Lonchura striata: one gene and its partners. The protein of the gene in region 3 interacts with the protein of the main gene of each other region in a pairwise test. Links are inferred from orthologs where the notes say so. Each region holds a gene or a part of one and is shown on either strand. Other genes may lie near its edges. The genes, in order: TBC1D22B, KANSL1, CDR2 and C4H4orf46.

Region 1 (7,015 bases), on a different chromosome or scaffold from region 3:
CTACGTCTGGCATCTCTGGGCTCTGAGACCAACAAAAAATACAGCAACATTTCCATCCTGCTCACTGAGCAGGTAGCTCCCTTCAGCTTGTTCTCCCCTGGGCTTTGTGGTTTGTTTGGGTATAATTATTGTATTTCAAACCAGCTTAAGTACTGGAATCAAACTTTAAAATGTATGGATCAACCCCTGTGTTGGCCAGAAGGCATCAAAGCACTGGTCAGCATGGGGGGGATGAGCTAGTCCTGTTGGGCCAGACTCAAACTTCAAAGTTCTAGATTATTTTTGTCTCTGGGTTCATGTGTGTTAGCCAAAACAATTGGAAAAAAATTATGTTATCAGTGCTAAATTCACTACTTCAGGAGTGACAGCAGGCTGCAAAAATGGCTCCAATTTCCCTTAGATAGGACTCAGCTGGGGGCTAGTGCTGGAATATCAACCCCTGGCCTGTGGTGTTTGTCACAGATAAACTTGTACCTGAAGATGGAGAAGAAGCCAAACAAGAAGGAGCAGCTCTCTCTGGTGAACAATGTGCTGAAACTGTCCACTAAGCTGCTGAAGGTGAGATGCTGTGCCTGAATGGTTGAATTTGATGGCAGCAGGGAATTATGGCAATGTCATGTGGCCTTCCCTTGGCTCCTGGAGTTAGTGCTCACAGAGGGATTTTTCAGTGCTGCTGCAGCTGGGACGAGAAAGGGAGCAGCACAAGGCCAGTGTGGGTAATTAGTGCTGAGAACTCGATGAGCAGTGGTTTAACTAAGTGAGAGGAGAGGCTGGGTGAGCACAGCTTCTCCTGACTGCTCAGTCTCATTTTTCTTCATCAGCTCTAATGCTGGAGCTCACTGCTAGCAGCAGGGAGAGGATTGGGAAGCAGTGAGCAGAGTCTGAGAGTCCATGGATTGGGCTGGGTGATTCTGCAGCCTGGAGTGTCAGGCTCTGGGGCAGTTGGGGTGCTGCAGAGATTTTGGATTCAGCAGGAGATGTCTCTGGAGCACTGACAATTCCTGTACTTGTATCTAAGAAAGGACACAGAGGCAGCCCAGTCTGTTGGAGTGCCAGTGCTCAGGTAAAAGTCAGAGGATTAATTCTTTGGTGTTTGGGAGTGCTAATGGACCCTTGTCCTGTCACTGCAGGAGCTGGATAGTCCATTCAGGCTGTATGGACTGACCATGAACCCACTGATCTACAACATCACACGGGTTGTCATCCTCTCTGCTGTCTCAGGAGTGATCAGTGACCTGCTGGGGTTCAATATCAGAGTAAGTGTCCCTGTGCCAGCCAGTAGAACATCTCTGGGGTCACTTCTGGGGCCACAGCCCTGAGAGAAGCCTGGGTTTGCACTGGGAACCCAAACACCAGAACCTGCTGGGTGTGTCCCCACCTCCCTGAGCCAGTTCTGGGGGGAAGGACAGGGCTCACTTCAGTTTCAGTTCCCTTCAGGTGAAGCTGTGAGAATCCAGGGTTCCTCCCTTTATCCCAGTCCTCCTGTGGCTCGTCCTGAAACTGGAACTCACTGAGCAGAGCAAGATGGGCAGGAGACACAGAATGTTGCTTGGAGATGAAGACCATTCCTGTTAGACCCAAACTCCCTTTCTTATCTCTTTGCAGTTATGGAAAATTAAACCATGAGCTGGCAGAACATCAGCCCTGGGCATCTCCACCAGACACCAGAGAAGAGAACCAGCAGTGTGGGCAGAAAGAAGAAAACTGACAGAAATCTGTAATTCCAATTTTTAAACAGATTCTCAGTGTATGCATCAGAAGTTTTCTTTCTGCTTTACTGCTCTACAACATCCAGAGTGAACTGGTCTCATCAGTGATGTCATTCCATGGCATGCACAGAAAAACTGGATTAATGGGGCCAAATCCTGGCAGCTGGCACTGAACCAGCAGGAACTGCTGTGGGACACCAAACACTAAAGCCATACCAGAGCTGCAGCTGGGGGGACACCAGTGGCTGTGGCTGGGGCCAGGTTTCTGTAAAATCTGGTCCCTGGGCATGTGGCAAGGAGGGACTGAGCCCTCCTGGCCCAGTCAGCCTTCCTGGGGCTGCACTGGAATATTCCAGGTTGAGAATCCTTTGCTGCACTGAGCTGGCTGTGCTGAAGAGCTTTTCTTTCCCTAAAGCTCTGTGTGCTCAAGGCTCTGCCTCCATCCTGAAGCAGCCCAGGATGCACCAGGTGAATTCCCCTGAATTCCCCTTCCCTGCTGCCAATCCCAAATCCTGCTGGTGGCTTGTGCTGCAAAGAAATGATCAGTGTTTTTGGAGGAGAGCGGTTACAGGAGAAAAAACTCCCAACACACAACAGGCAAGGTTCACGAGCTGGAGGATGTTTTGCCACATCTGTTCCCTGGAATGCTCAGCTCCATCCTGTCCTGGCTGGGACAGCAGCTCTGCTCCGTGCTCAGCTGTTGCAGCCCAGCACTGCAATAGAGCCTCACCCTGAACACCTGGGGAGGAAATCTGGGGGAAAAACCAGTTTTGGCAAAGACTTCCTCAGGTTCACGCTTAGAAAGGTCGTGGAGAACAAGAGAACATTTGAAGGCTTCTGCAACATTTCACTGGCTCCAATAGCTCCTATTTATTAGTAGTGAAAAGAGCAAAAACGGAGGAAATTCTCATTCCTTCACGGGAGGGTGAAATGGCAGAAGAATTTTTGGTAGTAAATTGTTTACAGCTATTTTCTGTACAAGGAAAAATTGTGAGATGTAAAAGGAGGTGACATTTTTATATAGCAAAATGTGCAAATAAACCTGCAGGACAAGCACTTCATCGTTACCAACGGTTTCTACAGCAATTGATGATTTTTATACCATCTTTTTGAACATCTGTTACTGGAATGGGGGGGTCAATATCCAATAATAAATTACATTTATTTTCCAGAACGGCAACATGTTTGTGGGTAAAATCTGGCTCACACCCCTGAAAGCCAACCAAGACCGTGGTTTAGACAGTGCAGAACCAACAGGCCGTGAACTGGAGTTGGGTTTTAAGATCTGTGTAAAAATAATGAGTGATTTGCAGGTGTCTGCAGTCAGAACCTCAGGAGTGTGTGTGCAGGAGATAAATGTTCACACCCAGCACATCCAGCCATTGTGTAGCATTCCAAGGCCATGTGCATGCAGGAAGCGCAGAGGAAGGTCTTGGGAAGGGAAATCCCACACAGGTAGGGCTTGTTTGGGTTTTGACTCGTACAATGTACACATACTCTTATTTTCTATATGTGTATGGTTTTCCTTTTCATTTATTTTTGCTTTTTTTGCAGTTCTTTGTGCTGCAGGTGTTTGGTATTTACTATGGGGTGGCAGTAGGAAAAGATTTTGTCCCTTAATTTGCATATACAATAGACTATTTGCATAATTACTCATTAATAATTATTCTTCAGTGCTCCATATGGGAGTAAGTGGGGTGGAGAATAATAGTAATAATATGAGAGGTGTTACTCCAATCTGGAGCACTATTTATGGGCTTTTTGCACTATAAATAAAAAGAAGACAAATAATAGCGTCTGGTGCAGAAAATGCCATTAATTAAAAATTAAGTTTTTAATTTATTTAATTCTAAAAGTCTGAACAGAAACTGCTCCAGGTGTCAGACCGAAGCAGGCACCTCACCGGACCTAAAACCCCACACGACAGGCGAGCGGGATCCAGGGCGGGAATGGAACCGCGCCGCGAATTCCCTGGAAAAGCAGAAAATCCCAAAAACCCCGAAAATGTCATTCAGCCCCCCCCGGCAGGAGCCGGGTGGTGCCGCCCGCGTCCCCCCCGCGCCCCCCATGGTCTCTCCCACCCTACCGGCGCAGCAAGCCCCGCCCCCTCCCGCGCGTCGCGGCTGTGCCCGCCTGCGATTGGTGGATCCGCGACGCCTCGCGCGCAGCGGCCAATGGCGGCGCCGGGCCCGGCCGGAGCCAAGATGGCGGCGGCGCGGGCTGCGGGCGGGCGGGCCTGAGGCGGCTGCGGGGGCCGCGCCTTGCTCCGCGCCCGGGGCCGGCCGGCCGGGGGTCTCCGCTCCCCGCCCGCCGGCCCGCCGGGCCCGCCCCGCCCTCCGCCATGGCGGCCGAGAGCGGCAGGCAGTTCTGGAAGCGCAGCGCCAAGCTGCCGGGCAGGTGAGCCCCGGGAAGGGGTGTGAGGGCCGCGCCCCCCCTGCGCTCCGGCCGGGGAAGGCGCTGTCACCCGGCCTGGTTCGGGGGCTGAGGGGAAAGGTCGGGGGTGCCAGAAGGATCTGGCCCGGCTGCGGGGCTGAGGAGCTGGTTGGGGGTTCCTCCCTGGAATTGGGGGGATGCCAGGGCCACCCCAGGTGTGGGAAGGTGATTTTGCTGCGGGAAGGTTCAATGTACAGGGGACAGGGGCAGGGGCAGAGCTGCTCCCCCATCTGTGGGACAGGGCAGGCGGTGTGGGGCTGCGGGGACGCCCTGTGTGCCCCCTGTGGGAAGCAGGATGGAGGGAGCAGGATGCCTTGGAGGCCTCTTTGGGGCAGGTCAGAGCCAGGGCTGTACCCTCCTCCTTCCCACAGCAACTGAAGGAAACTCGTCCTTCCCAAAGTCCTCAGGGGTGTCGCCTTGGGTGGCAGCAGCTGTGTCCCAAAGGGGTGTCCCTGGTAACCCTAACATTACCCTGAGCTCTGTGGGATGGCGCTCCTGGTCCCCCTCTGCTCAAGGGGAAGGACTTGGAGGGCTCTGGTTATACCTCCCCTGCCTCGGTTCCTCTGGCTGTGATGTTCCTCTCAGGGATGGGAGAAACAAGCGAAATGAGTGATTGACATGGTGCTTGGGAAGAAGAGGCTGGTGCTGATGGAGAGGCTCCCTACAGCGCCTCGGGAGCAAGGCTGATGTGGAAAGAGGGCATCAGCCTCTCTGTGGAGGCTTCTCAAGTGCTTTTCCTGCCTGGTGCTCCTCACTTTTGCTCTCATTTGCCTTATCTGAACCCTGCCCTTCGCCTCCTGGGGTATGGGTGCAGTCTGAAATGCTTAGTAAGTTTTAAATCCTGCTGGCCCAGTTGAATATCTCTTTCTGAAGTGCTTTCACTCATCTGCTTGTCATGTGCAGCTCCTTCAGGTTGGCTGAACATGTCTGTGGTAAGCAGAGGGAGAGCAAGGGGCTCTGTTCCTCCTCTGCTGCCCCTGTGGGAGGAGAATCCTGTGCTTTCCCTGGGTTATTTCCCAGCTGTTCCTGCCTCTTACCCGAAGCTGTCAGCCATGCTCTCAGCTGGTGGTCGTGGACAGCACCTTCTCCTCTTCTCCTTTTGGTGACTTCTGAGCTTTCCTTGGAAACTCAAACCAGGTGAACCGGTCTGGCCGGCAGCCGGGCCTGCCTGAGACGCTGCACGGGGAAGGTTTTGGCAGTGCTCTCTCCTCCTCCTGCCTGCCTGCTTGGCAGGTCTCCTGCATCCTTGTTCCCTCCTGTGTGCTGGCTCTTTCCAGGGACAGCCACCAACAGGTCCTCAGCAGCCTGATTCCGAGGGTGAGGTGGGATGTCCTTCACCCATGGTCACTAAACATCAACCTCCCTTTCTTCTTTTTTGTCTGAGCTTTGAGAGACCCTCCTGTACAGATTCTTGGCTCTCTCCTTTCTTTCCCCTGACAATCTGGCAGAGGGAGGCTTTGTAGGGACTTGGATACTGTGTTAGCTTCCTTTTCCATGACACTTTGTGTGTTTGGTCACTTAGTTGTATTAGCTTTTATTTGCTGATAAAGTTTATTTGCTTTTGCTCCCTGTAGATTTAGGGTGGATTTTAGGTGTAAGTTTAGAACTGGTAAATGCTGTTTTGTTTTTACAGCGCTGTCTTGTGGCTTTTTTGCACTGGGAATTTTCTGCCTGGTAATTTTCTAGGGATGTGTTGGCCGAGTGCTCTGGCGTATTGTGATGTGTTGTTTATTCCCTGCTCTTTAGAGAGATGGGCAGGCAAGGTCTGCTGGGGTTATTTAAATGCTGTTTTAAAAGGGGAGAAACAGCCTGCTGGAAGTAAATGTGTGTGTGTCCAGTGGCAGTGGTGTTTCAGGCTGTGCTCTGCTGCAGTGTCAATAGCCCACACCCTGTGATGATCCTGGGAGGTGTCACACAGGGAGCACAGCCTTTGTACCTCACACCATTGGTCACCCCTTGTACCCTACACTGAGCATCCAGGGAGCAGGAAATGCCTGTCCCAAAGGGTTTAAACTGGGACAGAACAGGGCACTCGTCCAGTCAGGCTGGGAGCACAGCTTAGATCAGCTTGAGATTCTTCTTGGAGAGTGTCTGGCTTGTAAGGCTTCAAGAAGAGCTGTGTGCAGGTGGCACCCTCTGCCATTGTGTCAAACATTGATTCAGAACCCCAGGAAAGGGTTTCCTCCCCCAGCACTGGCTGCCCATCCCCTCCTCTCTCTAACACACATCCTTCATGGGTCTTGTGAAGCCCAGGCCTTCCCAGGCTGGTCAAGCAGTTCCCCTCTGGCAGCCTGTGGGTCCCTGACAGGGAGGAGGAACCTTGCTGGACATCCTGGGACAGTGTGAGTTTGGTTCTGGGCATGGGAGAGAGAGGCTCTGCTGGCTGCTGTGCTGCAGGGAGCTGCCACACGTCCCTGGGAAGCAATGCTGCTCTGGAGGGCTTGTTCTCACTCCTCATCATCTCTTTGCTATGTCCACGTGGAGGTGCCTCTGCTTAATTGCAGTCCTGACTTCCAGGTGCTCATTAGTCATCACATTCTGTCCTAGGCTTAATCCTCGATGGATAAACTCTGTGAGGACTTCCAGCCACGAGGGACAACCACTGCAGTGGTGAGCCCACCCCTGGCTGGGCTGCTCCACCAGGATCTCTCTGTGCTGTGGTTGTTTCCAGCCTCTTCCCTGGCTCTCTGCATCTCTCCCCTGCCAGCTGGACCTGTTGCTTTTGCATCCTCAGCTTGTTCCCAGCTGCACCAGGCTGCCATCCCTCTCTTCTGTGGCTGGGCTCTGCTGATTTTACTGCTGGGCACCATCTGCAGCTCCTAGAAACCAGGCCAGCTCTATTGACCCAAGAGAAGCTTGTTCCTTGTGTGCCA
Region 2 (7,086 bases), on a different chromosome or scaffold from region 3:
CCCTCTAAAATCTGAGGCATTAAAAGAGGTTAAACGTGCCCTGCACTTTGGATCAGCTGGGTCTGGAGGGCTGATGGGTTGTTGATGGTGGAGCGGGGATCTCACCGGGGATCTCCCGGCGCTGGGGCAGCCCCGGGTGCTGCCCCTCCTGAGCCTTCCTGGGACCCGGAGCCTTCCCTGGGACCCGGAGCCTTCGTGGGGCCCGGAGCCTTCCTGGGGCCCGGAGCCTTCGTGGGGCCGGGCTCGGCTCTGCGCCCCGGCCTCTCCTGCTCTGCTGCTCCAGGGCCCCACATCCCTCACCAGAGGAGTCCGACAGCACCTCCAGCTAGGGTCTGCGGGCAGCACTTGTGGAATAATTACCCTGTTAATTGGCTTCCTTTCTCTTCCCAGCATATTTTCTAAACAAAAAGCAGGAGGAAGCAGGTGCTATTTACTTTTCCATAATGAATGTTGTTCATGTGGGGACCAGAGACCCAGGAATTGTGGGGCCCTTTTTCCTTTTTATTTCTTCCCTGAAAACTGCTTACTGCAGTTCAACCCCTTGGAAAAAGCTCTTAATTGAGCTGGGATGTTCAAAGGATGTTTTGTGCTATTTGGAAGATCTAATACGTAAAAACATTCCTGGCTTTGTATGTTCATCCTACCTTAAAGGCATTTTCTTTTTTTCCCAAGAATCCAGGGTTGCATTTAGCCCTCGCTGCTTTTACATTCTAAGGAAAGACACAAAATTAGTATTGAAGGACTAAAATTTGGCTCTTTGAGGAGGTACAGAGAGGAAGAGGCTGAGCATGGAGGCACTGGCAGGCAGGTGAGCAAGTGTTCACTGAAGAGAATTAATGAACTGTCACTTTCTTACAACAAAACTGGAGGAATGCAAAGCGTGGGTGTGGTGTTACTATTTGCATTGAAACAATGTAATTTGTCCTTGATTTTTTTTTTTTTTTTTTTTTTTTTTGCTTTTCTTGATTTTTTTTTAATTTCAAAAATTGTACAGTCCTAGGGGGAAAAAATTCTTTTCTGTTAATATATTTGCAATTCATGAAAGGATGTGGAAAATCCAAATAAATTACTTTTAAAAGCAGGCTTAGCCCCAGGTGCTTTGGGTCAGGGGTGGGATTTGTCCTTCAGAAGCTGGGCGAGCCACAGAGGTTGGGAAAGGTTTAAGGGCACCTTGGGGTGCACAGGGCTCTTTTCTGTCCTGTGCTACCTGAGCCTCCACGTGTCACCTGTAAATCTCCCACAGCCTTCCACGTGGGCTGCAGGGTCCTGGCTGGAATTTTGGGTGAGGTGGGGGGTGTGATGTGGGTGTGAAATGGGTGTAGGGACCTGGAGCTGCTGCAGCAGGTCCAGAGGAGCCCCGGGGCTGCTCCGGGGCTGGAGCCCCTCTGGAGCCAGGCTGGGAGAGCTGGGGGGGCTCTCCTGGAGAGGAGAAGCTCCAGGGAGAGCTCAGAGCCCCTGCAGGGCCTGAAGGGGCTCCAGGAGAGCTGGAGAGGGACTGGGGACAAGGATGGAGGGACAGGACACAGGGAATGGCTCCTGCCATGTGTCCATCTGCTGCCCGAGGGCAGGAATGAACGGGATACTGGGGAGAAATCCTTCCTGGTGAGGCCCTGGCACAGGCTGCCCAGAGAAGTTGCTGCTCATCCTCACTTTCCATCCTGCAGCAAGAGATGCAAAAAGCTCTTGGGTATGGAGCAGGTTAGTGTTATTTTCTTTTTTTCCTGCCTTCTGTAGCAAGTCCCCACCCTGTGGCTGCAGCTGTTGTTGCTCAGCAGAGAAATTAATTATCACAGTCTCTTACTGTTCCAGACCTGGAGGAAAAGCAGAAATTCCTCCTGCTGCATGTAGGCATCTTGGATTGAACCTTTTATTGCTCATTTTGCCCAACCTAATCCAGTCATTTCTGAGAGCTGAGTTTGGTGTACAGTGCTCAGTACAAGCAGCACTGAGATGAACCCGTTCCAGCTGCTCCCCCGTTTTCTCCCATGTCCTGATGGTCCTGGCCATTTGTTCCTGTCTGGGGTCACTGAGTGCCCACCCCACAACAAGAGCCGAGCTGTTCTGTGCCCCACTGCAGCCTCTGGTGTGGGCTGGGGCTGGCTGATGCAGCTGGGCTCTGTGTGGTGGCACCAGGAGCTGTTTAGGAGCACCTACATCTCACTGAGGTTTGCACTCGTTCTCTTGGTCACTAACTGTTGCTGCAACATCTTATTTTCTGTCCCTCTGCCCAAGTCTGTGACTTTGTTTGAGTGAGAGCTGATCCACGAGCACAAACTGCTTTTTATTTCTAGTGGAGCAGAACTGTTTTTTTCTAAGGCAGGGATCCCAGTGCTTTTAGACTTTGTCACCTGAGAATAAGGTCATAGTCTGGATTTTCCTGGATAACCAGGAAAAACAACCAGGTTGTTTCATGTTCCCTGAGGAAGGGAGAGCAAGGACAGTGACTGCAGCTGCTCTGTGTGGATCAGGATCCAAACACACTTTGAGAGTGTGTTTGGAGCATCTCAAACTTCCTTCCAGTCCTGAATGGGGCTTAGAAAAAAAGAGGGAGAGTAACCTTGTACACAGGTAGATAGAACAAGAAGGGGAACCACTTCAACCTGGGAGAGAATTAGATTAGATATTAGGAGGAAATTCTTTACTCAGAGTTTGGCAAGGCCCTGGCACAGGTGCCCAGAGCAGCCCCTGGATCCCTGGAATGTCCCAGGCCAGGCTGGATGGGTTTGGAGCAGCCTGGGCCAGTGGAAGGTGTCCCTGCCATGGCAGGGTGGCGCTGGATGGGCTCCGAGGTCCCTTCCCAGCCAAACCATTCCAGGATTCCATGATCCTCTCCCAGCCCTGCTGTCCCAAGAGTGAGCAGTGAAGGAGCTCACCTGCATTTTGGCCTGTGGGACATGGATCAAGTCTTTTATTGGAGTTATACCTGGCCCGTGACTGGATAAAAACTAAAAGACGAATTGAAAAGGCAAGAGTGGCAGCAGCTGGAGGGCTGTGCCCACAGCAGCGCTCAGGAGCAGCCATTGGGGAGTTTTCTGTGTCTAGAGGAGATGGCAGTGCGACGGCCCCGGGGTCACCGGGGACCGGGGGGCGTCCCGTGCCTCGGGGACAGGGCGAGCGGTGCCACGGCCCCGCTGCCCCGTGGGACAGGGACACGGGCCCGGTGCCACCCGCGGCCAGGGCCCGGCGGGACCGCAGCCCTCGCCACCCGTGCCGGGGCTCGCCGTCCCGGCGGGGCCTCCCGGGCCCCCGGCCGGTCCCTCCCCGCTGCGGGACCCGCGCCCCCCGGCTCCCGCCCCGGTGCCACCCGCGGGACACCGGCTCCCCGTGTCCCCCCGCCCGGTGCTCCCGCGGCCTGGCCGGACCCGCGGCCGCCCCGGGCGGGGTGGCGCGCCCGGGTCCGCCCGTGGGGGCCGGGCCCGGGGCCGGTGGCCCGGGGGGCGCGGGCGGGGGGGGCGCGGGGCAGGGGCCGAGCGGCGGCACCGCATCAATCACCGCCCGCCCCGCCCCCCGCGCTGATTGACGCGGCCGCAGCCAATGGGGCGCGCCCATGCCCCGCGCGCAGCCAATGGGCGCGGGGGAGGGCGGAAGGTGCCCGCTTGAAGGCGGCGGAGCGGCGCAGGTAGGAGCGGGCGGGGGGCGCGCGGCGGCCGCGGGCCGGGGGCGCGCACGGCCCGGGGGTCGCGGCCCCGGCCCCGCCCCGGCCCCGCCCCGGCCCCGCCGTCCCGCGACTTGGCTGCGGGGGCCGGGCCGCGGCGGGGCCGGGAGGGGCGGGCGGCTGCTCCCGCCCGGGAGCCGGGGGTCGCGGGCAGGGTCGCGGCGGGCCCGGGGCGCCGGGAGCGCTCCGCCCCGCCGCGCTGCCCCGCGGGACCGGGCCCGGTCGGCTCCGAGCGGAGCGGGGTCCCCCCGCCCGCCCCGCGCCTCCATTTTAGCCCGGGGAAGCGAGGCCGGGCCCGGGGGGCTTCTGGAAGGATCGGGGGTGGCGGCGGCCCCGGGCCCGCGCCCCGAGCGCTGCCGGGCCCGGCCCGAGCCCGCGGCGGGATGGAGCTGACGGCGGGAGGGGGCGGCGGGCCCCTTGTGACAGCCCTCTCTGTCCCCAGCTCCCGCACTTCCCCACCTCCTCGAGTAAATCGGTAAGAAACTTGCATCCCGCCGGCGGCGGCTGGAAGGATCCGGAGGCCGTCCCGGGCTGCCCACCTGGAGCGCAGGTGTGAGCGAGGATGGGCCTGGCCAGGATGCCCAGCAAGGTACGTCCCGCCTGCCCCGCTCCCCGGCTGCCCGGGGCTCCGCTCCCGGCGCCGGCCCGCTCGGTGTGCCCAGCTGCCCTGCCGGGTGCTGCCTGGGCTCCTGACCCTGCAGGGTGACGCTGGAGCCCTGCACGTAGTTTCTTGGCTGATGCACAACTTTAAAATGGAGGTTTGGTATGATGGCTGGAAGTGTGGATTCATCCTGTGCGTGCACAGGGTGCTTCTCTCTCCAAAGCCATTCCAGTGCCTGTAGTGAAGAGATGTGGAGGCTCCTCTCAGGAGCATGTGTGTGTATTTTCAGGTGTTACCTGTCCTTGTGTGCCGCAGCATCGAGACATCAAGGCATGACTTGCCCAGAAAAAGAAAGATCTCCTGCTTTTTTTTCCCCTCTCTTTATTGTTTTCATCCTTAAACCCCAGGTTTACACTCTAAGGTCCTTTATACTTCCTGATTTGATCTGGTTTATGTATGTATTTATAGTATCAAAAGAGTTTTGTGTACACCTGTCAGAGGGGCTTTGTCCTGTGGAAACCAAAGGTCTAAAGCTGGAGTTTCCTGCTCACATTTCTGTTTCTCTGGTTTCCCGGTGTGTGAAGCAGCCGTGGTGCTCCTGGGTCCAGAGTGGAGCCTGGCGAGGCTTTGCTGGTGCTTCTTCAGAAAATTGGCCTCTTGCCTTGCCGATGTTATTGCACATTACAAATGTGTCCTAAACACTCAGGTACAGGAATTGAGCTCTGTGCAGCTGAATAAAACCTGAAGAGAAGTGCTAAAGGGAAGGATATTTCCCTCTTTTCATAAATCTACAAGTCAAAGCAGCCTGACTTTAGGCCAATTATTGAGGCTGAATTTAGACAAATTCTCTTGTAATGGGAAAACCAAAAATCTTATTTCAATCCGTTCACACTGACCCTACCCAAATCTGCTGTGGTATCTGATCTTCAGTCGGCCAACACAGCAGCAAAGCTCTTGCTCTTTGTACACGGAATAACACTGAGTTGTTTTATGGGCTTTAAAAGTGGAATTAAATCTCCCTGTTGTGGGTTTTGGCAGGAAGGGCCCCGGGAGGGTGCCCTGGATCCTCTGTGCCTCCCGTGAGCTGGCAGGAGCTGGGAGAAGGAGCAGTGCCTGCGTGTGCTGCTGGGGCACTCGGCGTGTCCGGCCACCACATCCCTCGGCAGCTCTGCTGCTGAGGGGTGTTTGCTTCTGGAGGGCAGATCTTGCTGGACCTTGATTTTTGGAGTGTGTTGAGCGTGTCACAAGTTGAATTGCTTTACTGCTCTGCTAGGATCTGTCTGAGGGCCTTTCTCACTGTGACCCCCACTTGTGCTCAAGCTCCTGGCACCTGGCATTGCCACAGTCTGCAGTGTTTTACTGTCACAGTTTGCAGTGTTCTATTGCCACAGTTTGCAGTGCTTTACTGTCACAGGAGAGACCAGCTCCGTTCCAGCCCTTGAGTTCTGTGAAGCCTCCTCAGAGGGGCAGGAGGTCTGTGGGAGCAGAGGAGCAGGAAGCCCTGCCTGCTCCTTCCCAGGGGATGTGCTGCTCCAGCTCTGCCTGTGCCCTGCTCACACAACGGGGACTCGCTGCCTTCTCCGCCCCATTGCCATTCCCCTGTGGTTGCCTGGGCTCCGATTCTCCCATGCTGGACTTGTGATAGGAAGTATTGGTATTAAGAGCAGGTAGAGTCTTGTTGTTGTGTTTTTTAGTGGCCATCCATTTTTCCCACATTCAGGATGTTTCCCAAACAGAAATAGCATGGGTTTAGGCTCAAAAGTCATAAATAATAACACTTAAGAGTTATTTTATGTACTGATATGCATATAGTTACTGTATAGAGACTATTAAATTTCTGAGGCAGGTCCAATCAGAGGAAGTGAGGAGGATTAATAGGTGGAAAGATGAGGTAACAATTAGGTGTGCATAGCTGGGTACACAGCCCTCACCAGATATTGTGTTTTGGGTGTTCTGGATGCTTGGCAGAACAGGACAGTTCGAAGGATGTAAAAATGGGGCTTCACTGGGGAGAGCTGCTCTTGTTCATGGGGGCATCTCCAGATCAGGAACATCCTGTGTGAGGGACAGGTAGGTGGCTGGCCCTGGAGTGGCCAGGTGACCAGTTGTAGCACAGTTTTGAGTGGGAAACAGACTGGCAGGACCATAGAAGGTACATGTGTAATTTTACACTGCACAGCAATTTCTGCTACTCATCTCCAGGTCAGGCTGGACGATGGAAGCTGCAGCTGTGTCTGTGCTGCAGGAAGATCCAGACCTGTACTGGAATGTCAAGCTGGAATCTGGGCTCTTGGTCTGTGCCTCAGCAGAAAGTCCTGCACTGCACAGTGAACAAAAGATCAGAAGCTTTATTGCACAGGAATTTCTTTTAACTTCCTCCACAACAGATTGTCCTCACTCTTCTGTTCCAGTATAAAACCACATTTGTTGCTACTTCTGCTTTTTAGCTGAGCCCTAATTCAAGGTAGATTAAAAAAACCAATAACACCAGAGGTTCGCACGCCATCGTAGGGTCCTGTGTCCCTAAAATTCTCTCTAAGCGGGGCGAGGAGATCAGGACAGAGTGTGCAGCTGCTGAGTTCCTCATGCTGTTGTCTTTCAGAAAAGGTATTTTTGTTACCCTTAAGAATAGCTAGTGTTCACTGTGTGACCCCGCTGGGTGCTGGACGTGGGGTGCTGATAACACACTGCCCGGCTGTCCTCCTTGCCACTGTTCCATCACTGACTTAAACCCACGTTCAAGGTCTCAACACCCATTTTCTTAAGGTACTGCATGAGAGTGCTGAGCCTGGGGAGTGACCAGCACTGAGGAGACAGCTGGGACTGCAAG
Region 3 (7,160 bases):
AGACTCCAGTCTTTCAAAACCTTCTATATTTGTGCTTTCATCCTGCAAAGCTCAGATATGATTCTCACAGTTGGTTAATTCAAAACATGAGCTGGCCCATTACTTTCAGGAGACCATTTACAACGTGAGTTACTCACATGGATAATGACTTCCAGGATAAATGCAGTATTCAAGTACTTAAACTGTTCATAGGAAAGCACTAATGTCAAACTTATCTATGGACCTGATGTGCAAAATCAGTTTAGAAAATTACTTAAAGCTATGAAATGTAAAAATCTTTTCAGCAATTAACTCTGGAGATTTTTACTCTATGGACTGTAAATTATGTGCTTTATATATAAGTTCCATTGCTTATGGATTAACTAAAGTCAAAGATAATTTACTGTTAATTAATTGCAATTATTTCAAAATTAATCTGTCATTAAAAGAATCACTTTGTTGTAATAACACTGACGCACAGCACAACATGGTAATCAAAATATTCCATTGTACAGTACCTGTGCTACATGAAATGCCGTTTCTGAAATTTTGTATCGGTTTAGGAAAAGCTTAACGTAGTAGAAATTAAAAATGCTATTCATCATTCCAGCACCCAAGGTAGTCATAGAATATGCCAGTGCATTAGCATGAATTCCCCAAAGAATCTTCATCTTCCAAGAGTACAGCTCTCTTCTTCCTCAAGTTACAAAAGAGAATTACAACAATTAGTAGAATAATTTTCCAAATTAAAATAACATGGGGGATTTGCTCGTTTCAGAGGTGCTGAACTACTGGAGGAAAATGTTCCCATTCTTCCTTTTTTTTTACAATCAGAAACACATTTTACTGAGTTACAAGACACTGAGCCCAAAATAATAAGTTATTAGGTGACATTTCTAAGTATAATCAGTACTTAAAAGTCAATGGAACAAGTAGACAAAAATTTGAAAGAAACCCTTCCTAATTGATGTATTGACTCCACTTAAAAACCTACTTTTGCAAACACTCATTTTGGTGTAGAGTTCAAAGTAATTACTTACATTTTAGATCTTTCTTGCTAGCTATATATTCTTAAAATTATGGACTGTGTTGGAATGAAGTGACTCAACTCTTTATGTATTCCAATGCTATGAATGTCAAGTGCAGCATGCACGTAGGTATTTCTTTCAAAACAAATACTAAATTTTGCCCTTCTATTTTAAAATACTAATGGTTAAGAAGCCATGGAAGCAATATTTTCACCTAATAAACCATAAAACAATTAAACCAAAACACCTTTAAATTAACATTTCCATGGTATGGAAGAGTGCATGTAAATAAAACGTAGCAAGTAGCAAACACACCATTTTATGTATGCCCAAGTATCAGACATTTCTTTAATCTGCCATTCAGAGATTCAGCCAACAAATTTTTAAGATGCTGATCTTTTCCATCAATTAGCATGTTTGGTGTAAACAGTGCCATGAAAGGAGCCAGCTCCAGGGAATCTCTACCTTTTAAAGCTATTTAATAGCTACCTAAAAGTAGCCTTTGACCATACTTGATTCTATAAGCCCAATACAAAATTACTCCCAGGTATCTGTTTTTTAATTGAGGCTTTATTCATTTTTACATCTGTTGAAGGAAGCTGCCATTAATTTTGATACGTCAAGTTCAAATTTCAGCCTTACTATGCAAAGCTTTACAACCTGCTTTATGTCAATAGTTCACACTTTGCTCCTCTGCATATCAACAATTTTACGTAAATGCAATTTTCACATGTCCATCAAAACACCTACTTTGAATATCTGCTTGATCAGCAGCTCTATAAGCAGCTCCCTGAACTCCTCATAAAAATAACCATGGAAGAAACAGGAAATGAAAGCCAAGGCTCTTTCCAGCCTTCCTGAGGTTTACAAGGCGGCTGAAGAGAGGAAGGGAGGAACTTCCGAATCACCGGGCAAGGACCATGCCAAAGCCACAATCAGGTAGGGACTGGGAAGATGAACAGGCAGGTTTTCCATCCCCCCCACCACGGGAAATGAGCTCTTGAAGAGCAAATAAATTGTGGATGCACATTTGCATATATAAGATGCTGTGATATGAAACAAAGCTAAGAAAAAAGTCAAGCTGACAAACAACTAGAAGCCTAGCATTCCTTTTATTAAAGCAAATTTGTTTCTAAGAATATGACTGATTTTTAAAAATATTTAAGGATAACCATTATGTATATCTTCAAACTTATTTTTCTGCACCTGTAAAGACAATACATTTTCAGGGGAGAAAATTTTGCATTTTTGCAGCAAGTTTGGTTTCACAGTCTTTTACTGAGAAACCTAAAATGCAGGAAAAGGTTATTGAAAAGATGTAAAATTGAAATGTTTATTTTTAAAAATAAGTTTGATATTAATACGAAAATCATTACAATGAGTATGTTATTGGCAAGTGCCACATTTGCTTTTTCAAGCCTTCACAAATATACTTAACGGAATTATTTATATAGTGGATATTAGGGCTTTTGGAAAAGTAGACACTTCACTTCTATTTCTACCTGGAGCACCCTGCACAAGTCTTCAAAATGGAGAACTCGGAAACTTTACTTTCCTTCAAATTCCACAAGCACCAAGAATACAAGTGCTTCACACTAACTTTACCAGCATGAGTTCTAAATTGTTTTACTCGATTCCTTCTGACACAAATAAAAAAAAAAAATTGGTCCCCTCAGTTTCAGAAAATTTGAAAGATGTTTGGTATTTCTTCAATAAAAATTTTCTTACAATGCACAAACTGGTCCCTAGTACCATGACTAATTGTAATATGCAGGATCTGACACAACTCTACCCTAATTGGTACATCTGGTCAAGCACCTTGTTTATGAAACAGGTTCAATTAGAAGTTGAGGTACCACACTTCCTTCCCCAGATGTTCCCTTTAATAGCACTACAATGGAATCATGCATGAGCATCCCCTCCCTCTTCTTAATAGTCAGCCTTTATATTCAGCAGGTTAAAGCACTGGTGAACATTTCGTGACTCACAGAAGGCAAATGGGTTTCAGAAATTTCTAGTGGTTACAACCGTGTTAATACTCAAGAGGCCGAAAGAACAGGCTGTTAGGGCCAGTGAGATGCAGTGTCACATTACCTGCGATTCTCCCACAGCAGGATGACAACTGCTAAAAGAAATTAGAGCAAGAGTCTAAAGAAGAAAAGTGGATTCCGAGAGATAATAGCAAACGTTGCCTGAGGGGCACTAGCTGCCATCCTGCTCTGCCGTTCTGGGTCCCAAACCGCTGTGCAATGCTCACAGCCCTGACAGACTGGTTGGACGCACGATCTTCCTCATCCCTCTGACGCGACTGGCAGCACATTAGGACGGAAAGCAGAAGGAACGCGGTGCTAGTGCCGAGGGGCAGCGCTGAGGGGAGGCGCTCAGCGGCGCTCCCGGAGGCGGCCGGGCTGCCCCGCCGAGCCCGAGCTGCGGGCTGCACCCTTGGAAGGGCTCCTCTGTCAAAAACAGGGACGTTCGGCTCGTTTTTCAGCAGATCCCGGGAGAGGACACACGGCTCCCTCCGCTTTGTGCGGTAAAGAGGCGACAGCGAGCGGCGGCCGCTCGAGGGAGGTGCGGGGATGGAGCCAGCCCTCTTCGGACTGCAGGCTCCCCGGTCCGCCCTTCCCTCCCGCACTCCGGCCCGCACCTGGACGCCACGCCACGCTGCTCCTCACGGGCTCTGCCCTCAGCGCTCCCAACACGGGGCAACAGCGAGCCTCGGCTTTCCCTACGCCAAGTCGCACTGCCCCACCCCAGCCTGTGTCAGCTCTGCTCCGCCACAAGCCGCAGCCGACATCCCTCAGTAACAGCCCCCCACCATGCACGTCCCCGAGCGCCGGCGACCACCGCCCTTTCCAGAGGCACCGACCCACCTCTTCTGACGGGAGGCTGCGCACCGCGAGCCGGGGGGGCGCGGCTGCCCCGGGCCCACCCTCTCTTCGCTCTCATTGGTCGCTTGATATGGATTCGCGTTATGATTGGTGTAGCCTCCTTTCGGTCTGTGCGGCGCGCGGCTCCCCATTGGCTGCCCGCCGGCGGGGCGAGGCGAGGATGCCGTGTTTGAATCGCGGGAGGCGGGGGGCGGGCAGCGGCTGCCACGTTGCCGCCGGCGCAGCCCGGCCAGAAGGGGGAGAGGTTCGGCAAAGTCCGGAACCGCTCGGCAATGGCCGGAGGCGGCTGCTGAGGCGGGGAGCGGCTGCCGGCTCGCTCTGCCCCGCTCGGCGCAAGGGGCATCGTGGGGTGGGCGCTGCCGGCTCAGCCGCCCGTGAGGGAAAGGGGCGCGATGCTGGCCGACAGCCTGGTGGAGGAGTTCGAAATCCGAGAGGATGAGCCCTGGTACGACCAGCAGGACCTGCAGCAAGGTGAGCCGGGGCGGCGGCGGGGGGCGTGTGAGGGAGGGTGTGCGAGGGCAGGGGCCGCGTTGAGCGGGGCGGGTGAGGCGAGGAGCTGCGGGGCAGCGCCGGGCGCGGGCTGTGCGCGGGGGGCCGCGGCGGCACGGCGGCGGCACGGCGGGGCGCCGGGCGGGGCGGGGCCGGGCGGCGGCGGGCGCGTCGGTCGTGCCGGGCTCGGAGCGGCGGAGCTCGGGATCCCCGCACGGCCGCTTCCCGCCGCCGCGGGATCGCTGTCACCGGTAACGACTGCGGTCTTTGTCTGAGGGAAGGAGGTGCGGCAGCCCAGCGGAATGGTGCCGGGGTCCCTCTCCGCCCGGGGGGAGGGAAGCGGCTCCCCGGAAAGTTGCACCTTGCGCAGAACGTGAAGGTGCCTTGTTCAGGGCTGGTGCTGGAAGCGCCGGGGTCTGATGCGCTATTGCGCCCTGTTGAGCTCTTTGTCAGGGTTTCCACTCGATGAAGTTGTAGTCGTAGGAATGCTCGATTAGTCGCAGGTTCATTATTAGAAACTCTTTAGGCTGTCTTATTAAAATATCAAATAACTCCGCTACGCCTCAGAAAAACACAAGTATAGCTTCTGTATGTAATTCCATCAGTAGGTCTTAAAACACTACATGCAACACGTAAATGCTGTTCATTTCACAAATGAGTAAGGAGCCATAGGAATACAAGATTGCACTAAAAATCTTTTAACAGGCATGATACGGAAAGAATGTGCAATTTCCTTAAGAGCTTAGTGGCATTTATGACTGGTATTTACTTAAGTTACTTAGTTCTACTTTTTGTTCTTAATCCCGAGTTTGTTTTGAAAGGCGAGTGCAAAGCTGTGGCTTCCTGCAAACCTACTCCAGTTTTACACGTTTTGCTTTTATATTGAAATACATTAATTCTTGGGATTGGTGGGTGCTGCTGGACTGTAAACCATAGAGAAAGCTAAGCAGTATTCACACTGAGATCAGGTATCTGACCGCAGAAACTATTTTTGAGACGAGGCCAGGTCTCTCTAATTGTACGCTATAAAAAATAGCTAACTGAAAGCTGTATTTAGGTACTCCTCACCCAAAACTGAAGTTTTCCTGGCTCTAGGATACAAACAAATCAGTTAAAATAAGATCCTGAAACTACAGTTTGCTGTCAAAAGGGAGAGAGTGAAAAGTTTGAAGGCATAATTCAGTAATGTTTTTACTATGTCAGTGTTTATGGAGTTGAAGATGTGCAAAAACACTTTACAATGTATAACAACTGACTTCTTGTCGTTTCTCTGCTTTCATCTTTTAATTAAAATGAGTGGAATAATCACTCTGCTGTCGGCTTTTAAGAAACAGTATTCCATTCTAGAGGTTTAGTGCATTTTGGGGATTTGGTTGATGTACCCTCAACACATGGACACAATCTTTCTGGGGATTCTCTCTTTTTCCTAAATGGAAGCCATGAATAGCCTTGCCAAAAGCAAAAAGAGAAAAATAAAGTGATGAGCAAGTTGAAATGCAAAGAAGAAATTCCTTACAGGAACGTTTTTTAAATGTTGTGCTGTACTTTATTTCTGGGCTCTGAAGGATACTACTCCTGCTGCTAAGGCTAAGACACACGGATGTGTAAACAGGGTAGTAAGTGCTTATCAAGGTCTCGTGAAACTCTTCACAACCCAAACAATCAGTGCATGTTTAAAAACCGATGAGTATGGCTATGAGAACCTAGGTTGTAAAACATTAGAAAGCACCTTGAAACATGCTTGAAGTCCTTGTCAATTGGTCTTTGAAACTTAAAATGAGGGTAGGGGTTTTGGAGAACTCGACAGTCTTCCTACGCACCAAAGATTTTTGCCTAGACAATGGAGATGGGCTTTTCTGGCATACTGCTCATGCATAAAGTGCTCATGGAATTCTTGTGAGGATGGGAACAGACATCCTTCTGCGATGTTTGCTGAAGTATGCTGACCTTTAAAAAAGAATTTATATGGACTGCTCTTTTTGCATCTTGCTGTTACTCACTTTTATAGAACAGAGGGTATTCTGAATACAGAACAGGAAATAGGAAACTAAGTAGATTAAAAAAAATAATTTTACAATTAAGTAAACTTACACTAGGCTTACTTTTACATTTTGCACAATTAGTGCCTGTTGCTGTTTAAAAGACTAGGCTAATTTTAGACTGAAAATTCTCTTAATAATTTTGTTAGGTGGGTTATGAATAAGCAGAAGAGAAGGATTTTGGTATTGTTTTTATCTTTTTTTCAATGATGGTAATGCAGTCTGAAGAGATTGTGAAGCACTGCTGAGGGTTGTTCAACATCACAGAAGACATCTTTGAAGTCTTGTCTTGGAGATTTCTGATGGAGCTGTTAAACACCAGTACAACTAATCAGATTTACTAAAACAAAGATCTTTAGATTTGCATATATGCATTTTGCATTATTAAAAATCTCTCTGCTTCTGTCTTTATGGTGAAAAGGAAAAAGGCATGTCTGTCAGAATTTAGCTTTGCTTTGCATAAATTTACAACAGAAAATGCAATTCTGCTTCTAGTGTTCTACCATAACTCTCTCCAGAGAAATGTAAATTAATACTTCCCATTTTGTATCTGGAAAACATACATGGCACATCTCTCTTGTAAAATTTGCTCTTTGTAGGGCTTCCAGGTACATGACACTGTGGAAAATGGATGCAAAAAAAAAAAAAAATCTGAATTTTAGAAGAGATTAAATTATTTCAGTACTTGCTTTCTCTAGAGTTGAGGTTTTATTGTGTGTTCCTGAGTGCTCCCA
Region 4 (7,392 bases), on a different chromosome or scaffold from region 3:
ACTCATGTAAAGGCAATAGTGAAATTGTAATGATAGTTCTGATACAGGTTGGACAAGCCTTGATCAGCCTGGTCTACTGGGAGGTGTCCCTGCCCATGGCAGGGAGAGGCTGGGACTAGATGATCTTTAAGATTCTGATTCAGGCAGAACCAGAACTATGATGAAGAAATAAACAAAAATTAGAGGTTTGTTTTGTTTGGTTGGTTTTTTTCCTAAGTGAGTATCCCCCAGCTTTAACTGGTGGCAGTTTCCCCCGTCTTACTCTGGAAAGACTGGACTGAGTATACCAGCACTTTGCTGCTTCTCTTTTCCTCACTTTTCTTAACAGGCTACCAAAAGTTGCTCACCACAGCTTGCAGACTTCAACAAATTCCAGTCTTAAGATGTATCTCCATGAACAAGGGAGATGGTCAAATAGAAAATTATCAGTCTTAATAGGTGTCACGGCTCACTTTGAGCATGACTGGATGCATTATAGTTAGAGTAATTGAAAGACCGCAGACATTCAGCACTTTTTGAAGCATTATTTTACTTCCCAGAATTACAAGGGTAAAATACAAAATATCCTATCTGAAACAATCCCCTAGAGGCAGTTCCTTCACACATTTTTACTGAAGAGAATGTTTTCTATTATGAATTATTACAGCTTCCCTTCTTCTTTCAGTACCGTATTCAGTCTGATGGCCTAGAAGCCCAAAAAGGTAAAAAAAAGCTCTTTTTTCTGTGTTGATTTGAAACTATTTAAAATTAAGTTAAAAGATACTTACAATGTTTGCACTTAACTTCTTAGCAGTATAAGAAGTAGAATTTTGAAAAAGTGTGGCTCACACTTCAACTGTTTACAGAACTTTGGATTATCTTTGGATTTGAAACTGAAGATTGTTAAGCATCTTGTTTCCACTACTGTATGTTCTATTGAAATAAAGTATTATCTGCTGAACAAAATTACTTCTTTTCCAAGATGTCTAGCAACATTTCGGGTTGTAGGGGTTAAAAACACCTAAGCAAAATCCTGCCACATGGATTATCTTTAGCTAGGACAATTAGAATTCAATTCAATAGAACTTCCTTACTCAGGGGCCATCCCTCTCAAGGACTGCAACTGCCTTTGGTGAGATGTACAACAATCCCCGACCTTGCCATTACCTGGTTTTCACTCCACGTGATTATGGTTATATTCACTGTCACCTTTGTTTCTATCAGTAACACAATAATAGTAGATACTTCATAATTTTTGCAACTTCTTTATTGTTTTGATAAGCAAGCTGCAGTGGGTCTTCCTCAAAGTCCTGTAAGTAAAAACAAGTCATAGCAGAGTCACATTCTCCTGCAGCCTGCCATTGCATCTCAGCATTACTTTTTTTCAGTGCCTGGTAAAGGTACAGGAGTGTCAGGACAGCTATTTATTACAGCTCAGCCATCTTTCAGACCAAAAGGTTCTATTAATTCTAAGCTCTAGACTATCAAACTAGTCACTACTTAAGGCAAAGATAAAAAACAGGACCAAATACTGAAAAAGCTCTGAAGTGCTTCCCCAGCGACAGGAGAGAATACATGTCACAGATTCTATTCTAACTAATAGAAGCTTTTACTTAGAGATCAAAATAATTCATCCTATCAGTAAACAATGCTGCTAAACTTCTACCCTGCAGATATATATTGTCCATGATAAGGCACTTTATTACAACAAAAGGTAGGGTAAAATTGTTTGCAGTAATAAAACATCTTGCAAAAAAGAATCTGCAGCTTTATTGACATACATTGTAATACTGCTAAAAATAGTAAAGTTTGGGATATAGAATTTTTCTACAGCTCATAAATAAGCCACAACTTGCCGCATTATCCCATACTCAACATAAAGAAAAAGTGTGTGTAACAAAAAACTGAAGTTGATTGAAGTTTTTCTGGGGTTGGCCGGGTTTCTGCTGGTGACAGCTCTTAAAAAGGAAGGCTGACAATCCTTTATCACTTCCCTACAAGTAATGAGTTCTGAACGTAACACACATACTTTGTATCTACCACACTAACACGAAAGAGATAAAAATGAGAGAATAAGATCGCTTGAGCTTCAACGAAGAATCTAAAAGTCAAAACTGATTCCCTAAACGAAGTTTTTTTTTTCTTCGGTAGACTAACATAAAACGTCCATACGAGAGCCCCCAAGTATTTGTGAAAGAGGTCGGGGGGAACACAAAACTCCACGTGAGGTCCCCAAGGCAGCGGCCGCGAGGAGCCCCGCCGCAGCGCGGGCCGGGCGGGCGGCTCGGCGGGCAGGGCCGCGTCAGCCGCTGGGCTTCAGGGACTCGTAGCCCTCCCTCAGCAGGTCCCGCCACGTCCTGAGGAACCGGGCGTTCTCCGAGCACCTCGTGGCCAGCTCCTCCACCTGGGCCGACACGGCCGACGTCGCCTCCAGGATCTTCGCCAGCGAGAAGGCGGCCTGGAGGGACGGCAGAGAGGTTGGGGGTCGCCGGCGCCCGGCAGCCCCCCCGAGGGGCCCGAGCCCGCCCGAGGGCAGCGCGCCGCACTCACATCGCCGATCTGCAGCTCCACCTCCTCCAGCAGCTCCCGCGTGTCGCCGCCGGGCAGCTCCGGCGGCCGCGACCCCTCGCTCCCGCCGCGCACCCTGCGGGGCTGGGCGCCGGGCGAGCCCTCGGGCACCGCCGCGGGCGGCAGCGGCCCCGCCTCGGCCATGTCCCGCTCGGCGCTCCCGCCGAGCGCCGCCCACGGCACGCCCGGGCCGCTCCCGCCGAGCGCCGCCCGCAGCGCGGATGGGCGGCGGCGGCCGCGGGCGGCGCTGGGAGCTGTAGTCCTGCCGCCGGGACGGGGCGGAGCCGTGGCCGGCGCGCAGGCGCGGCAGGGCCGGGGCCGGCGGGGTGTGCGCGGGGCGGACGCAGAAGCGAGAGGTGCCCGGGGCCGCTGCGATGCTGCTCCGCCGCTGCCCGTCCGCCGGCCGAGGTAACGCGCCGGGGCCGGCTGGAGGGCCCGGGGCCTCGTCCCGGGCTGGGCAGGGCCGGGCTGGGACGGCCGCTCGTGCGGCGGGTGGGGCCGGCGGCTGGCGCGGCGCCGAGGCAGAGCAAAGGTCGCGGCCGGGTCGCGCCGGTGTCCGGGCGGGCGCGGGGCCGGACCGGGGCCGGCTGCGGGCCCGCGGCTGCCCCGCGGCTCCCCCTGCCCGGGGCCTCTGTGCGCCCGGAGGCGGCGGGACAGCGCCGTGCGGAGCGCTGCCCGCGGCCCGGCTCTGGGCTGCCGACACGGGCCGCTCACCTGCGGCGGCGTGCCGAAAGAGATGGGCGGGATTTTTGAGCGGCGCGAGGTGTCACCCGCTTTAGAGGGTGAACTAAAGCACTGGCACGAGTGTCCTTGCTTGGGAAGTAGTTGTGGCGACAGCATCCCGACAGCTGTTACTGAAGAGCTGCCGCAAAGTTTCTCCTTGGCCATGTAGGCGTTTCCCATCGCTTGTCGAGTCCCTGCGCTCTCAGTAGCGTCGTGGCCCAGGCACTGTGTGCTTGCTGGGGAAGAATCTGCCCGTCCAGCGTTTGCACCCACCTCTGTTATTATCAGAGGTGTTCGGAGCAGAGTTTCACTTCTTTTGCATATGTGCAAATTAATTGATTTTTTATATATATATATGCTGTGTGATTCTTAGTACCATCAGTTATGGTCAAATAAAAAAAATCCTGAAAGTTAAGTTAAAGTTTCATAATATATATATGAGTGTAGCTGTTACCAACCTTATAGAATGCTTGTTCTCAGATCCTGCTTGGTTGCAGGTAAAGGATAACTAAGAATTATGAGGTGATATGATAATAGTTTTTATGTTATATTGGTTAAGGTACAAAATTCTTGTCAAGGAGCCAACATGGATAATAATTGCTACCTCGCATTTAGAGACCTCTGTTCTGTCACCAGGACACAAGATGCTTGTGCTGACCTTGCCAATTGCCATTCTCAACTAAATATCTCAGTCATAGCACACTGGTGATTTCACTTATGTAGTTTTGCAGAAATACTCCACTTTAAATGTGGTACTAGTCTTCTTTATCCCTGAAGATAGAGAATTTTTTAAGGAAGGAAAATTATTAGTCAACGTACATTAATTCACAGACCTTTTAACTATAACTAGTTTTCATGCTAGCATTTTTTATTACAAATCACATGCATATTATTTGTTTCTAGAAGAGGGAAATGATGACATGTAATAGCCCTCTGAAAAGATTCCTGGTTTGATAATTTGAAACTTTGTTTTTCATCCATTTCCTTACACAGAAATTCTAATTTGTTCTCACAACAATTATTGTATTTGCAGCAAAGGTAATGGCTACCTGTATCTACTGTTCCTAACTTTGGCTAAGCATACTTGGGTTCAAGTCTGTGCTTTTACTGCAGACTATGGTGTGTACTTTAGAAGCATCATGTGTTGAGATGTCAGAGCTAAACTTGCCTGTCCTGTTTCTACTGTTGCTTGGTCATTTTTAATGCAGCCTGAAATAAACCTTTCGAAGTTCAAAATTAAATCAGAACTTAAAATATGTTTGGCACCTGTGTATACATGCATATTATCCTATGTCAGCTGTGCATGGCTGGCCTGTGTACTGAGTAAAGAATGCTTAAAGAGGAAGCTTATTTTTTTTTCCCTGATAAAAAAATTACACATCATCCTCCTTACCTGAGAATTTAAAAATCTGTGTTTATGGTTCCTCATCTTTACATCACCTGGTAGCCCTTTGGGAGGGGGGGAAGCTGTTATATTTGTTGCACTACTTGTGTCTCTGAAATTTTGAAAAATTTGGAAAACTATTGATTTGACAAAGTTGTTTCTGGTTTTTGCAGCACGTCAGTGCATTCATGCTTTAAAATTGATAAAGAAAGATTGCCTTCTATCGGTGCGTGTCTCACGATGTGCCTCTACCGCCTCTGTGCCTCGCATAACTACACATTACACAATTCATCCTCGGGACAAAGACAAACGATGGGAAGGTAAAAACATTGCATTCTTTAAATGCTTTGTTATTATTATTATTATTATTAATCATTGCTGAGTCTTAAAGACACTAAAATATGTTGCTGGTTTTTTCTCTTCATGGAAATTCTCTATGCTTAAATACAGTACTAATATTTCAAATGACAATTTTGCTTGCAATCTCACAATGAGTGTCTTTAGTGCTATAAAATATTATCAGAAGAAACTTTATGCTTGTTTCCATAAAGAAAATATACAAGCAGCTTTTGGTTTAGTGATTATCATAAGATCTAGTACTAGTCAGTATGTATCTGCTGTTTTTTTCAGTTGCTCTTACCATGAGGGTTTAAGTTCAGTGAGAGAGAGGCTGGAAGAAATTAGAGATTGGCTTATGTTATTATCAATTTTTTCTATTGAAGGGGTAAACATGGAAAGATTTGCAGAAGAAGCTGATGTTGTCGTTGTTGGAGCAGGCCCTGCTGGCCTTTCTGCAGCCATTCGACTCAAACAGCTGGCTGCTGAGCACAGCAAAGAACTGCGTGTTTGTCTGGTGGAAAAGGCTTCTCAGATTGGTGCACATACATTGTCTGGTGCTTGTATTGAGCCAAGGTCCTTAGAAGAACTCTTTCCAGACTGGAAAGAGCGAGGGGTATGTATGAGCATGTCAACACCAAAGTTCATTACTAGATTGTAATGAACTTCATATTTGACTGATTCTGGCACGAATTAGTACCTGGTAGCATTAGTAATTAATACCGTTTTAAAATACATTGATGGAACAAAACAAAAATGGGTACCTTCTTTTTAGTATGTTTCCTGTAGTTCAACAATGCTAAATGTTTTCTGTCTACACAGACATGCTGTGGCCTTTGCTCTTTTCTGTAGCAGTCCTACTGCATATACACAATCTGAATGGTGCAGCCTGGGGTGCCCTGCACTTGCTGCCTTTGTGCAAAATCCAGCTCTTGTGTACAAGCAGGATGTCTGGTCCTTACCAGTGACAGATATGCTCGATCTGTGCAATAGCTCTTCCTGGAAATGGCACAGAGTAGACTGGCTTCTGTGCAGATACTGTGGTGTAACAAAGGCCTAAGATGATTTTAGGAGGGAAGTCTCAGAACAGCCTGTAACAAAGGCCTAAGATGATTGTAGGAGGAAGGTCCCAGAACAGCCATCTGACTTGCAGACTGCTGCCTGCTTTCACCTGAGAGATGCAAGAAGTCAGCCAACAGCTCTTTGGTTTGCCTTATGGTGATAAATCTGCAACTTGAACTGCCATATTTAAAAAGGTCTAGAATATTGATGTAGCACAGGCCTGTGTACAATAGATGTTATTTGCAAAGCTGTATTTTTTTTTTTACTTCAGTAGTTGTGTTGATTCTTTCCTGATGACTGCATTATAAAGTACTTTATTTGCTCTTTTGTGATACCTTCCCATAGAAGTGCTATACTAAACCTGTACTCTACTGCCAGTTTGATTGTTTGATTTTGTTGTTTGTGTTGTATTGGCGAAGAAAATATAACTCTCTGCTTCTTCTATTTTATTTGTTGTAGGCTCCACTTAATACTCCTGTAACTGAAGACAAGTTTGGAATTTTAACAGAGACATCTAGAATTCCAGTGCCAATTCTTCCAGGTAAAGTTTACTGAGGGAGAAGAGAGTCAACTTCCTCTGTGTCTTTTTGGAGACTTCATGAATCCATGAACTTCTCCATGAATCAAAAGAAGTTTGATTCCGTGTAGTGCAGCAAGTGTATGTAGAGTATAATAGGTTACAGTGATACACTCTGTGTAGGTGATGGCTCTGATAACACATGAGATTAATTTTGAAGGTAGTAGCTGTAGATGTGACATCTACTGTATGCAGCTTTGGTTATTTTGCTTAGTGTCCGATGTGTTATATCTGTGTGTGTCTTTTTTTGCCTAGGACTTCCGATGGTTAATCATGGAAATTACATAGTACGTCTGGGCCACCTTGTGAGTTGGCTAGGTGAACAAGCAGAAGCTTTGGGTGTTGAGATATATCCAGGCTATGCAGCAGCTGAGGTACTAATGACATCAGTGTGTGTTTATGAAAAGTGGCTTAGGAACCCCCTTCAGTGCAGTCATGATCATTTGTACATGTGCAACATTCCTTTTAAGTGATATGTATTGTGAAAACTCTGTTTCTCTGTCTAAATTCCCTGGCTCAGATCCAGCAAAGTGCAGGTGGATCATACAGTGCATGAATAAATACATAATCTTAATGTTTGACCATTTAAGTCATACTGCTTAGAAGTTTTGCTTTAGAACTTTTAATATATAGATTCAAAATACAGTTTCATTACAATGTTTTGTGTTTCTTTGTTTAAATATTTCCAAAGGTACTTTTTCATGAAGATGGTAGTGTGAAAGGGATAGCAACCAATGATGTAGGCATTCAGAAGGATGGAGCA

What was found.
Region 1: the proteins of CDR2 (region 3) and TBC1D22B interact in binary tests that used the Homo sapiens proteins (3 or more experiments, as listed by UniProt). The link is inferred for Lonchura striata from reciprocal best matches to the Homo sapiens genes CDR2 and TBC1D22B.
Region 2: the proteins of CDR2 (region 3) and KANSL1 interact in binary tests that used the Homo sapiens proteins (3 or more experiments, as listed by UniProt). The two-hybrid records come from large-scale screens. The link is inferred for Lonchura striata from reciprocal best matches to the Homo sapiens genes CDR2 and KANSL1.
Region 4: the proteins of CDR2 (region 3) and C4H4orf46 interact in binary tests that used the Homo sapiens proteins (3 or more experiments, as listed by UniProt). The two-hybrid records come from large-scale screens. The link is inferred for Lonchura striata from reciprocal best matches to the Homo sapiens genes CDR2 and C4orf46.

Annotation. Positions count from the first base shown.
Region 1 is NC_134632.1:4,739,993-4,747,007, reverse strand, and holds the start of TBC1D22B (TBC1 domain family member 22B), read left to right. Parts: upstream 1-4,011; 5' UTR 4,012-4,050; coding exon 4,051-4,106; intron 4,107-7,015. Other genes in the region: protein PHTF1, read left to right, coding at 1-72, 463-558, 1,131-1,256, 1,606-1,626. UniProt on the Homo sapiens protein: May act as a GTPase-activating protein for Rab family protein(s).
Region 2 is NC_134627.1:8,850,489-8,857,574, reverse strand, and holds the start of KANSL1 (KAT8 regulatory NSL complex subunit 1), read left to right. Parts: upstream 1-4,086; 5' UTR 4,087-4,244; intron 4,245-7,086. UniProt on the Homo sapiens protein: Non-catalytic component of the NSL histone acetyltransferase complex, a multiprotein complex that mediates histone H4 acetylation at 'Lys-5'- and 'Lys-8' (H4K5ac and H4K8ac) at transcription start sites and promotes transcription initiation.
Region 3 is NC_134618.1:10,739,959-10,747,118, reverse strand, and holds the start of CDR2 (cerebellar degeneration-related protein 2), read left to right. Parts: upstream 1-4,144; 5' UTR 4,145-4,290; coding exon 4,291-4,369; intron 4,370-7,160. Other genes in the region: transmembrane protein 180-like, read right to left, coding at 498-650.
Region 4 is NC_134606.1:40,736,379-40,743,770, reverse strand, and holds C4H4orf46 (renal cancer differentiation gene 1 protein), read right to left. Parts: upstream 2,698-7,392; 5' UTR 2,692-2,697; coding exon 2,530-2,691; intron 2,438-2,529; coding exon 2,282-2,437; 3' UTR 509-2,281; downstream 1-508. Other genes in the region: ETFDH (electron transfer flavoprotein-ubiquinone oxidoreductase, mitochondrial), read left to right, coding at 2,922-2,955, 4,828-4,974, 5,377-5,606, 6,512-6,593, 6,885-7,003, 7,321-7,392.